Linked DNA regions of Neurospora crassa OR74A. The protein of the gene in region 1 interacts with the protein of each later gene in a biochemical or structural test. Links are inferred from orthologs where the notes say so. Each region holds a gene or a part of one and is shown in the gene's direction. Other genes may lie near its edges.

Region 1 (4,257 bases):
GCACGTGCTCCTTGTTGGGTGGTGGGTTACGTGTGCCTGAATGCGTCCGCAAACTCGTCACGAATCTCCCCCACGCGTGCGCGGAAGACAACAGCGATGAGATTATCGCAGTTCGCTACAGCATTTCCTCTCTATCCCGGGTTAAAGAATGGAGAGGTCCCGACCTTGAACTCAGCTGAGCAGGCAGGTAACGAAATTAATCTTCAAAAGCCAGGGCCGCAGGTCGATCGGACGACTGCAGCTGCCAGGGAAAGAGACGACTTCCGAATGACGGTCGCGCAAGCAGAAAAACGCCCGAGACGTCAAGAAAACCTGCGCGTTTAAATCGCCTCTACAGCTTTGCCAGAACAGGGAAAAGATGTACGAAGAAAAGGACGCGACTATCAAGTACGACGATGGGCGATGCGACAAGGCGACCAAGGGCGACAAGTTGGTCGTCGAAGAAAGGAGAGATGCTGCTGATGTCAGGTCAGGGTGACGACGGGAGTTGAAAGGAAAAAAGTTGAACGTGAGCAGCGGTCGCGCAAATCAGGTGCGTTCCGCCGTTCATAAAAAGGGACTGACGCTTTGCGACTGGGCAAGCGGGTGCATGAGTGCAGTGGGCAGGCGCTTTCTCAACGAGTTTGCCAGTGACGGGAGTGCATTGACTGGCTGGCACGCTAGCGCTCACGGGCCGCCGACGCTCGTTGGCACTGGCGGATCACGGGCCTTTCTCCAAAAATGGCCCAGGCACGCAACGAAGTGGAAGTCAGCACACGTGTAGCAAGAGCTTCTGTGGTCAGTGCGCGTGGCAAGTGAAGGTGGAAGTGCCCCTGGGAAGTTGGATTTCTGTATGTAGCACGCTGGCACGATACCTGGAACCAAAGAGGAACCGGCCGTTTGTTGGGTTTTGGGTGGGTCCGCGCCAGCTGGGGGCAGGAATCAGTGGGAAATTGCAGCAGTGTTTGTACCTTACCATTTAATCGCTACTTCTACCTACCTCTAGACAGGCAGACAGGTTATGGCAGGAGCAGACATACTGAAAATACCTAGAGGTACGTACCAACCTACCTCTAGGGAAGGTATTTCTCTGGACCTTGAAGTTGTCCATCATACCTCTACACTTCTACGGATATAGGAAAATCGAGAGCAAATAAGACGGACGACATGGTAAATTGTCAGCGATGACACGCACGGGCTCAATCATCCATTCCTGGAACAGTCAAAGGTAAACGCCACAGAGACAGGAAGATGTCACAACTTGCTGGTTGCGGTGTCAATCGAACATTGGAGGACGATAACGGAATCCTCGTCATACCTCTACTGTGGGGGAAAGCTCTCAGCTCAGGGCGGCACCTCCTGTAAGTGGAGGTTAGCGGATATAGAAGGGAAGGGGTAAACAGTCCACTGGGAGACAAAGGCCACTGGTCCAAGCCGAGGGAGAGATGTCAGGTACCTTGCGGACCAGAGAAGACAACATACCTCCAGAAGTAGGTACCCAAGGTAGCTTCAACGGAGATATTCTGTTTCCTCACGTCAGCTTTCTGTATACCTAGGTACTATTGAACACGTAAGGATCTTCTGGACTCAGTACTGTAACATCTTAACACGTTTGCTCTTTCGTCTTTAAAAAGTTGCGGCTCTCTTTCAAAGTTTGCGAAAAGGCCAACGACTCGAGGCCAGCCTAGCGATAATTCGGTTCAAGGGACGCGATCACAAGCCGCCCCACCACTGTGACAGCGAGACGGGAGCTACTACCTTCCCTTCCACTTGCCTCAACAGCCTACAGTATTCTACAGCACCTCGGCCCCGAGTCCTCCTCCACGAACTTCCTGCCGACCAGCATAGCAATCACTTTAATACACAGACATGGCGCCAACACCAGGGAACTCTCTGCGCGACAAGCAGATCTGTATGTCCCACTGCCTTCCTATCCCCAAGGGTCACAATGCCAGACAGTCTTGCGGTGGACTGACACATGCTCTCTAGTGTCTATCAAGAAGCTCCTGAACCTCAACCAACCCCTCGAACCGACCGACGGCGACGACTCGAATGGCTTCCAATCCGCTTCCGCCCCCTTGCTAAAGGACATTCCCACGTGGAAGATCTTGGTCTTTGACGAGCTTGGTCGCAATGTCATCAGCCCAGTACTCCAGGTTTCGGATCTGCGATCCATGGGCGTCACGCTACACGTTTCCATCGCGGCCAACAGGCAACCGATTCCTGATGTCGATGCCATCTACCTTATCGAACCGAACGCCAAGAACCTCCAGCAAATCACCAATGATCTTCAGAAGAACCTCTATAACTCTGCCAGCATCAACTTCCTCTCCTCGGTACCACGGCCACTGTTGGAGGACTTTGCGGCGCAAACCGCTGTCGCCGGCACATCGGAGAAGATTGCCCAGATATTCGACCAGTACCTCAACTTTATCGTTCCCGAGCCGGATTTGTTCAGTCTGGGCATGCAGAAGGAGCATACATACTGGGCGTTGAATAGCGCAAAGACACAAGATGAGGAGTTGGACAGAGTTATCGACAGGATCGTCAGCGGCCTGTTTAGCGTGGTGGTGACACTAGGCGTCATTCCCATTATTCGCTGCCCCAGGGGTGCTGCTGCTGAGATGGTTGCAACGAAATTGGACCGAAAACTTCGCGATCATATTCTCAACTCCAAGGACAACCTCTTTTCGGCACACAGGGCAGCCGCTTCCAGCACTGGAACGCCAAAGCCCCTGCTCGTTATCATGGACCGTAATATTGACCTAATTCCCATGCTGTCCCACTCGTGGACCTACCAGAGTTTATGCGCCGACGTCTTTGGTTTGTCGGAATCGAACCGGATCACAATCGAGAGCCCCGTGGACTCCAATAACCCGGCCAAGGGCACCAACAAGAAGACGTATGATTTGGCTGCCGATGATTTCTTCTGGGCCAAGAACTCATGCCTGCCGTTCCCTCAGGTAAGCTGGAAGTGCAGACGGGACATCCTGAGGATGGTCTACTAACCAGGATGCTTAGGTTGCCGAGGACATCGACATTGAACTCACGAAATACAAGGAGGAGGCGGATGCTCTCACCAAGAAGACTGGCGTTAGGGATTTGGACCATTTCGAACAAGACTCGAGTGCAAGTGCTCAGCATCTAAAAGCAGCTGTTACACTCTTGCCCGAACTGCGCGCAAGAAAAGCCACTTTGGATATGCACATGAACATCCTTGCTGCTATCCTTGGCGAGATTCAAAGCCGACAGTTGGATAACTACTTCCAACTGGAGGAGAACGTGTTCAAGCAAACCAAGGCGCAAGTGCTGGATCAGATCAAGACGGCGGACAAGGGCAAGCCTGAGGATTACCTGCGTCTCTTTGTGATCTGGTACCTCAGCACGGAACAGGATGTGTCTCGTCAGGAATGGACGCAATTTGAGGAGGCACTCGCGGCCAAGGGCTGCGACACAACGTGCCTCTCTTACATTAAGCAGTACGTGCTACCCCCCTTTTTTTTCTTGGGCTTTTTCAGCCATTTCTGACTAACAATACCACACAGAGTCCGCGCCACGACCAAAATGACACAACTCACCACGGTAAATAATCCTTCATCCTCCAACCAGCAACAATCCGGGTCCTCGGACCTTTTCAACCGCTTCTCCGCCATCTCCAGCCGTCTCACCGACCGCCTCAAGGAGACGGGCGTGCCCACGGGCGCTCTCTCCAATAACGTGGCCTCTCTCTTGGGTGGCATCAAGAACTTCCTCCCCGAAGACCGCGACCTCACGGTAACCAAGATCACCGAGTCCCTCATGGACCCATCGGCCGCCAGCTCCTCGGCCATCGCCAAGACGGAACACTACCTCTACTTCGACCCGCGCAGCGCCAACGCGCGCGGCACCATGCCCCAGCCGTCGGCCATGCGGGCCCAAGGGAGCGGGTCATCCCTGGGCGGGCCCGGTGGCTTGCCAGGATCAAGTGGCCCGGGCCAAACGGCCAGTTTCGGGCAACGCAGACAGGGGTTCTCGGAGGCGATTGTGTTCATGGTTGGCGGTGCGAGCACGGCCGAATACAGCAATTTGCAGGAGTGGGCGGCGAGAACGACGACGGGAGATCGTGCGAAGAGGAGGGTGATTTATGGTGGTACGGAGTTGCTTAATGCTGGCAGCTTTATCAAGGAGGAGTTGGAGAGGTTGGGTAAGGAGGTTTCGTAGATTGATGGCCAAAGATGAAGGGGAAGAGTGAGGGGTGGAAGTGAGGAGCTGCTATATATCAGATTATAATTACTTTAC
Region 2 (3,990 bases), on another chromosome or scaffold:
CGTCGTTGAGAATGAAAACGAAATCTGTAAGCTCGAAACCGATCTGACCGCCGAAGCCGGCACCACCCGTAGCAATGGCGGTGGGGGCAGACCAGCTGCCGTCGGGGAGGCGGGCGACTACCAGGCCGCTACCGAAACGGGCAGATCCGAGGAAACCAGCTTTGATGACGGTGAGTATAGCAAGACCCTAGGAGAACGTTAACCACCTGGTCGCTTTCGTTGAGGTTGCGGATGCTGTTTCGTACCTTGGCATTCGCGAGCACTGATGGCGGTATCACCTTGTCGGGACCAAAGGCTTGTTTGGGCTCGATGAAGGAGGCGAGGATTTTACCGCACTTCTTACATTCCGCTGGTTACAGACGTGTTAGGATGTCGGATTCGGCGAAGCGAAGGGGAGTTGCGGGGTCGGGCTCGCACAGCACGGGAACCCCGGGGACACAAACTCACACGAAAGTGACGACGGAAGAGGGTTGTTGATACCCATCTTGAAGTGTCGAAGCGGAACTCCCTATAGCGGACTGGCGCGGGTCTTGAAGGGCGAGGGCGTGTAGAGCGGCTGCGGTGAGAATGCCGTGGAAATGCGACAGCGACAGCGAAATATTAGAAAGAAAGAAAGAGATGGAGTTCGTCAGTCATTTCTCGGGACACTGGCCGATCAATGCCTGCAGGCACACTGGCAGGCAAGCAAGTAAGCAGATCAGCCCGGTCAATTTCTTGTGTACATAGTAAATGCGAGGTTGGTACCTGGGCGTCCCCACAACGGCGGTTTGTCAAGATGCTGGGGAGATCCTTGGGGTCACTTGTTGTTCGTGATGAACGATCTTGTTCCCGGAGGATAAGCCTTTGTGCGTGCTCTTTTGTTGGTGTAACTGTCCGTTTGAGAGTTTGTTTTTTTCCCTCTTCTTCACAGATCGGAGTAACTGATGAGCGAGGCTAAACAGTGGCATGGAATTCATCACAGTCAACATTTGAAATGGAAGTACTTGGAAATGGAAGCTGGAGCTCGTGCCGCGCGTCATGTGAGAACTGTAGCACTGGACCCTCAATCACTGGAGACGCTGGGATGGGCTTGGGCAAGCACTGCCGCCGTGGGCTGTGCAGTAGCGTACACTACTGTACCTCTACTTCTCTACTTTACTCCGTCCCTGCGCCCTGCACCTTCCACTTTGAATACCCGGGCCTTGTCCAGCGGGCAGAGCAGAGCGGGCGTTCGTCGTTACGTAGGTGACTGACTGACGGGACCCAAAGTTGCAGTGGCCCGACCACGAGCACAATCAAATGGCTCCAGCAGGCTCCGCTCCCCCCGAAAAAGACCCCGCATTGACCATGCATGTGCTTTACGCGCAGCCACACGTAAATGGCCGAAACTGACATCATTCGCGACTAGGAGGCCGTAGCTGTGGCTGGTGTATGCATCAACAAGCTGCAGTGAGCCGGCCGCCCCCATCATGATGGATGCATGATCCCGGTGTCCTTTCATTGTGACCCTGAACTGAGTGCATCTGGAACCTGCTACAACCTACCCCCTTTTGACATCCCCATAGCACTCAGCAATACCTAGGAACACCACGGCTTCACTCCGAACAACGGACGCTGCAAGACACCGAAGCCGACCCCCGCGCGCGCGACAAAATAACACGTAATAACATCTTCGATAATACGAAACTCGGGCCATATCAGCGAGTTCCAATTAACCCGATACTCAAAACTGACGAGTGAACCTCCCACACGGCCGCTGAGCGAGTCGCAACATACAACTACGACCACAACACAACCCCCCCCCATTACCATTATCAAGATGTCCGCAAACTACGAGCGCGAGCGCCAAAATAATGCGCGCCTCGACGAGCTAGCCTCCAAGGTTTCTGCCCTTCGAGGTGTAACGATTGACATTTACGACCAGGCGCGCAACCACGAAGTTATCGACCAAACGGTACGGTTCCTTTGATTTTACTCTGCACAAAATAACAAACTGACAAGTCCCACCAACAACGAACAGACCGATACCTTCTCCTCCATGGGCTCTCAACTCAAAGGTTCCGCCACCCGTCTAGGCCGCATGGCCGCATCGGGGAACAAGGTCGCCATTCTCAAGCTCTCGGGTATTCTTATTGGGAGCTTCCTGGTCATTTACTATCTTTATCGACTTTTTGTTGGTTAAATGATTCAAAAAGTCACGACGTGTGAGAGGGCTAAAGTCGTTTGAATATTGGGTCTATTGGGTCTATTGAACTTCGACATGCGAATACATGCCAGGAAGCAAAAGGAAGGGAGGTTCTCTTCATCGGGTTCACTACAACAACACAGGGCGAAGGATGTAGAGGGCGGCACGATTCGATTCCCGACAAATATCAGGAATGATAAGACGGATGCGTGCGAAGCCGGACATCAAGACAGGATGGAGCTTGTCCGGATAGCTTGTTGGATGTTGGAGTGCTGGTACAGGCGATGTGCAGTCCGCTTGCTCCCACAAAAGCCGCTACTAGTATTGCGCAGAGGAGGTGCAATGTAGGGTGGGGCAATGGGTGGGAGGGTAGCAGGTCACGCAGGACCGTAGGTCTGTGTTTTGGTGGATTCTGAACGAAGTGTGGATTTTGGTTTACAGACTGGGCTTAATGTTTTGTCTCGACAACAGACGGGTAGATGCAAAGGCATAGCAATGGCGTTGACGGTTCGGTTTTGTTTGTTTATTTGGGATTTGGTTTCTGCGTACCTTAGGTTGTCATTGATACGTCGTGTCGTATAAGCCAGACATCGACATTTCTCAGTCTCATCCTTGATTTTTCATTTTGAAACTTCAAGGACATCAGAAGGACATTAATGAGGGCAACACACACCTTACAAAAGATAGGAGGATCCTATATAAAAGTGCATTACTTTTGCCCTACCAACGAACAATAACTTGTTGTCTATAATGTAAATATGCCAAAACAAAACATGACTTGCTGATGTAAGAATGACTGCGTTGTTCATCATTCCCCTATTTGTCACGCATAAACCATCATTTGCCTAACTCTTAACTAGATCAGACTCCCACAGCATAAGTACGACATGGTGTTCGTGGATAGCATCCCCTTTCCAGTCAGGTGGTATAGAAGGAAAAACAAGTTCGGACGCTTGATGGGTTTGGTTTGGTTTGGTATAAGTTTGTCCGAGCTATTTCTCACATCACCTGCCGGTTGATTATATATTTACATGGTCGGCATCAGGCGCGAGGACAACAGCAAAAATCCCAGTAGACTGCACTCGGTTACCTCTGAACCCCATGTCGGAGATCCCTGAATTGTCGTTCTAAGGTTTCTTATTGCCAGACGTTTGAGAACAGGTCGTCACTGCCACCAAAACCGGTAGCCGGCTTGGATCCGCTCGGAGCAGCTGGTGTGGTAGTGCTGCTCATCCAGCCCCCAAACTCCTCATCGGCCGCCACCTTTGGTGCTGGGGCAAAGCCGCCCGAAGCGCTGGGGACAATAGGTTGGCTTGCGAAGGAGCCGCCGGTAGTGGAGGAGGTGGTGGTGCTGTTGCCCCATCCAAAATCGTTAGAAAGAGGGATAGAGGTAACAGGTGCTGGCTTGGGCGGTTCAGGAGCCGCAGGCTTGGGGGGCTCAGGGGCGGAGGCCCACTCGTTGGAACCCCATACACCTGCATCTGACCAGGCGTTAGACGTCGCAATAGAGGCAAGAGGGTTTGGTGTTGTTGAAGTAACGGCTGCAGGGGCCGGCGTGGTTGCGGCGGGCTTGGAAAGGTTGAATGCGGAGCTGAAGTCAGATGAAGGCTTCGGGGCGGCGGCCGAGGGAGGAGCGGTAGTAGCAGTAGCTGTTGTGGAAAAGTCAAACAGGTCACCGAGGGCGGAGGAAGCGGGCGCGGGCTTAGAGGCTGGCGCAGGAGGAGGGGTTGATGAGAAGCCCAGTGGGCTGCTGATGGACTGCTTGGATTGGTGGGAGGATGTGGCGGGCTTGGAATCGAAGAAGCTGCCACCGCTTAGGCCGGAAA
Region 3 (3,895 bases), on another chromosome or scaffold:
GTCCCCGCACTCGCCAGAAGGAGATCGACTATGCCAAGGCCGCTCAGGACTTGCCTGCCGAGGAGGACGATGAGGAGGACGACGAGGAGTTTGTGCCCGAGGATGAGGAAATGGAGGAGTAGTCCGAGGCTATCTTCTGATTTCCTTTGATGGTTCACAACAACAACAACAACAACAACAATGACAACAGATTCTTGTTTTCTTTCTTCCTGGGTTTCCCCGTTGGCTCTGCGCTTTGCTCGCTGCCAGTGGTTGAGTTTTATGATGATCACGAGCTTGGAGATGTAAGCCGTCTTTTGGCTGATTGCTAAGCCTGATTGGCTGGACCTATTTATGTACGTGAATGTCAGCTATAAGGCCTGGGGTTGTTTGGTTCAATGCGTTGGGAGTTCCCACAATCAGAATTTGGCAATACATGATAAGGGTGTAAGTGATCATTCGTTTATCAGTTCAGGTAGACCGATCTCTTCTGTCAGCCAATTTCAAAGTATCAACATACTACGTACGTTGGTGTATCAGAATACGCTTGATCGCTTGTCTTCACTAACCTAACCCCCATAAGTGGAGACATTGGATGATTCCCCTGTCAGCTCAAGGGCAGTTGGCCTGTTGAGATGGGGTGCCACTAAACTAACCGCGAGGCAGCCTGAAGGGGGTGATATGTCTACGGCTGACCTATGAAAAGGTAATATTCCGGCGAATTCTAGAGTTGCTATGACCATCGAGATTTGATATCGGTCCTGTTCCTGGAGTACACAGCAGACGTCAGGAACCGGAGCATCGCACCAGCCACCAACAAGGTTCGCGATCTTGGCCTGATCCACCGGGTATTCTACGCAGTACCATACACCAGCTTCTTTGACGCCAACATCTGTGAGAATGCATGCCTTCGACTTGGAAAGCTTCAACGATTCTGAAAGTCTCGGATTTGGGCTTAGATTCGCTTCAATAAGTCCATACTTGAGTCTATGCGCCTTGCGCAATCTAACGTGGATCAACTTATTGCTGACGCGACAAGCTGAGAGAGAAAAAAAAAAAAAAAAAAAAAAAAAAAAAGGTAGAGGAAGAATGGAGACGCTGAACGCCCAATTAGCCAATATCAGTGGAAGCAACACGGGCACCTCTCGGAGGGACTTTGAACAACGCCGAACATGAACCCTCCGACATAAAGAAAAATTGAATGATTAAAACCAGATACATTGGGGAAAATAGTGTCAAGTTCTCTCGGAGAGGAAGACGTGACACCAACCCAGATGTTCAATCAACGTGTCCTTGTCAGCATCATGCGGCACGAACAACATTGTACCTTTTAGCCATTACATATGTATCACCCAGACACGGACTGACGTTGTAGTTTATGTACATGGACGGCGCACCAAGGTAACATCTGGCCAGAACAGGCCTAACAACCACCCAAACTAAAAAGGGGGATCTGCCGGCGCTGGCGGCCAAGGGTCCACGGGCATTCAACTTTATTTTCTTTCTTCACCACCCGCACACCCCCCGCCCGACGCTACCTCTATGGAACCTGCCAATTCATCATCTCTAATACCTACCCACACTCTTACAAGTTAGCTAGCATTTACCTGTCAGGATTCTCGAAGACGGATCGACCTAAATTTGCTCTCCATGATGGCTTCCAGGTGAGTGCGATTCTCTTGTACGTTCGTCTTAGCATTGCACCACACCACACGCAAATGCCACCTTTCACATTTCGAAATGCGACTTGGCCTGTCAACTCGACCAAACCCACGACCGACACGCGATGAAGCGAGCGGCCGACCGAGCTGCCCGGCTCCGGTGAACGGGTGTACGATATTGCCACCGGAAGATATCTGCGGACCAAAGGCAGCAGCTATCGATGTTATGGTGGTTGGTTTGACAAGTCACGATTTCTCGACCTGCCCCCCCTGGTCATGGCGCGACGGCCTCAACTACGTCATCGCTCTGGTTTCAGAGTCTCGCCAACACGCCTCCAACCATGCCATGGTAGGATACGATACGAGTTCACTACCGTGATGTGATGCAGTCGCAACAGCGGCGCAACCACAGCAGCACTGGCGACGAGAGCGAGAATGACAGCGAAACCGAAAGCGTCAACTCGATCCATCCACCATGCCCCCGGGTCGTCCTCGATTCGACTTTGACCACCCACCACAACCCCCATCCCACCAACCCCTTAATCCTTCGAACAAGACAAGACAACACCCTTCTAACAATTAGTCCGCTTTTCTTTTTCTCCGGAGTACAGATTTGCACATTCCTCTCTACACCAGCGCGACCCGCGCAGCGACCTTTTCAAGGGCTACTCTGGCTCCAGCGCAGCCGAGCGCCGCTCGGCCAACGCCAGCCCAGCAAGGTATGGCGGTGGCGGCGGATACGGGTACGGGGGCGGCTATGGTGGCGGTGGGAGTTATAACGGCAGCTCGTCAACACTGGGGATGGAACGGGGCGGGTTTAGGCCTGCTACTCCAAATTCAAGGGGCCAGTACAGCGACGCAGTCCTCAACGAACTCGAGAGCCAGAATGATGAGCAGGTGGAAGGGATAATGGGTAAAGTCAAGATTTTGAAGGATGTATGTTTTTGTTCTCTCTTTCTGCTCTCCTCCCTCTCTCCCACTTCCTTCTCTCGCAAGCCACCCATCAACTAACCCCATCCCTCCCCCACAAACAGATGACTATAGCCATCGGCGATGAAATTCGAGACTCCTCCGCCCTCGCCGAGAAGATGAACGAATCCTTCGACCAAACCCGCCTCCGACTCCGTGGTACCATGAACCGAATGCTCATCATGGCACAGAAGACCAATGTCGGGTGGAGGGTGTGGCTTGCCTTTTTCGCTGCCGTGGTGTTCCTCTTTTTTTACGTGAGGTATCTCTAGTATCCTTCCAAGGTCAAGGTTTTTCTGAACTTGGAAGAGAGAAAAAGAAAGAAAAGAAAAAGACAAAGATGGAGGGATATGTTGGTCGGCGGAGTGGTCCTCCTGCTGCTGCTGCTGCTGCTGCTGCTGCTGCGCGGGGCAAAGCGATATGTTCAAGAATGATGGAAACGAGAAAAGAGACCATATATATGCAAAGGAAAGATGGGATAGTATATATATGGCTTTAACGATGGGTAATACCAATGGATGATGAGGAAAACGGAAGGTTCTAGGTCAAAGTGGCTGACTACCTTGTGGGATAGAAAAGGCATGGATATGGGTTGCCCTTGGTAGATTGCGGGCGGACTTGGTTTTTGCATGCTGGCGCCGGGGAGTTCGCGTTTGTTAAGTCGTTCGGGTAGTATCAGAAGTCGGTTTTTTTTGGTTTTTTTGTGGTACCTAATTATTTTAATCATTCTTAATCCGTTCTCCAACCAATGAGGTTCAATTATCTGGTTTAATCCACTGATCAATCATGAAGCTATATATGGGCTCCCACAAACGTGAAGTGGATAATCATTGAGCGTATAACAGACAGTTAATCAGAACTGCGTGTAGACTACCACTGCATAGACCAGACCATTGCTGTAACGAAGATCAAAGTTGTCTTTTGACGGACATTATCTATTCAATCCTGCTTCCCAAGCCACCAAGTAGCTACCCATACTGCCATGATCCCAAGACTCCATGCGCCAGACTCAAACGACCTGTTATTGAATGATGCTTGCTGACCGTTCCTACCACAACTCCTCAGTTTTAATCCTCCCTTGTTTCTCTTTCCGAACCACCGCGGACCTTCATTCTAGTGCAACCTCCTCACCCTTGGACTGCTTCTCATCATGGGACTACTCTCATCAACAGACAACAGCCCACTGATATCCAGACTGCTCCTTGGCGCTCCAATTGTGCTCCGCCTGGCATTTCCCGCAAGACTAGTCCTCAACAGCCGCTGCTGCTGCTGCTGCTGCTGTCTTG

Evidence for each region.
Region 2: the proteins of NCU04252 (region 1) and NCU03889 form a complex in vitro, tested with the Saccharomyces cerevisiae proteins (2 studies listed by BioGRID). The link is inferred for Neurospora crassa OR74A from reciprocal best matches to the Saccharomyces cerevisiae genes SLY1 and SFT1.
Region 3: the proteins of NCU04252 (region 1) and NCU01741 form a complex in vitro, tested with the Saccharomyces cerevisiae proteins (2 studies listed by BioGRID). The link is inferred for Neurospora crassa OR74A from reciprocal best matches to the Saccharomyces cerevisiae genes SLY1 and BET1.

Annotation. Positions count from the first base shown.
Region 1 is NC_026505.1:5,366,440-5,370,696, reverse strand, and holds the start of NCU04252 (SNARE docking complex subunit), read left to right. Parts: upstream 1-1,456; 5' UTR 1,457-1,848; coding exon 1,849-1,891; intron 1,892-1,968; coding exon 1,969-2,942; intron 2,943-3,000; coding exon 3,001-3,458; intron 3,459-3,524; coding exon 3,525-4,179; 3' UTR 4,180-4,257. UniProt on the Saccharomyces cerevisiae protein: Able to suppress the functional loss of YPT1. SLY1 is essential for cell viability. May interact indirectly, or directly with YPT1.
Region 2 is NC_026506.1:2,053,410-2,057,399, forward strand, and holds NCU03889 (SNARE), read left to right. Parts: upstream 1-1,190; 5' UTR 1,191-1,798; coding exon 1,799-1,933; intron 1,934-1,999; coding exon 2,000-2,161; 3' UTR 2,162-3,301; downstream 3,302-3,990. Other genes in the region: NCU03888 (DUF500 and SH3 domain-containing protein), read right to left, coding at 1-187, 246-349, 448-484; NCU03890 (stromal membrane-associated protein), read right to left, coding at 3,302-3,990. UniProt on the Saccharomyces cerevisiae protein: Vesicle SNARE required for retrograde transport within the Golgi complex.
Region 3 is NC_026502.1:2,582,590-2,586,484, reverse strand, and holds NCU01741 (SNARE complex subunit), read left to right. Parts: upstream 1-1,414; 5' UTR 1,415-1,629; coding exon 1,630-1,643; intron 1,644-2,251; coding exon 2,252-2,576; intron 2,577-2,674; coding exon 2,675-2,881; 3' UTR 2,882-3,379; downstream 3,380-3,895. Other genes in the region: NCU01740 (histone H2A.Z-specific chaperone chz-1), read left to right, coding at 1-122; NCU01742 (hypothetical protein), read right to left, coding at 3,723-3,895. UniProt on the Saccharomyces cerevisiae protein: SNARE required for targeting and fusion of ER-derived transport vesicles with the Golgi complex.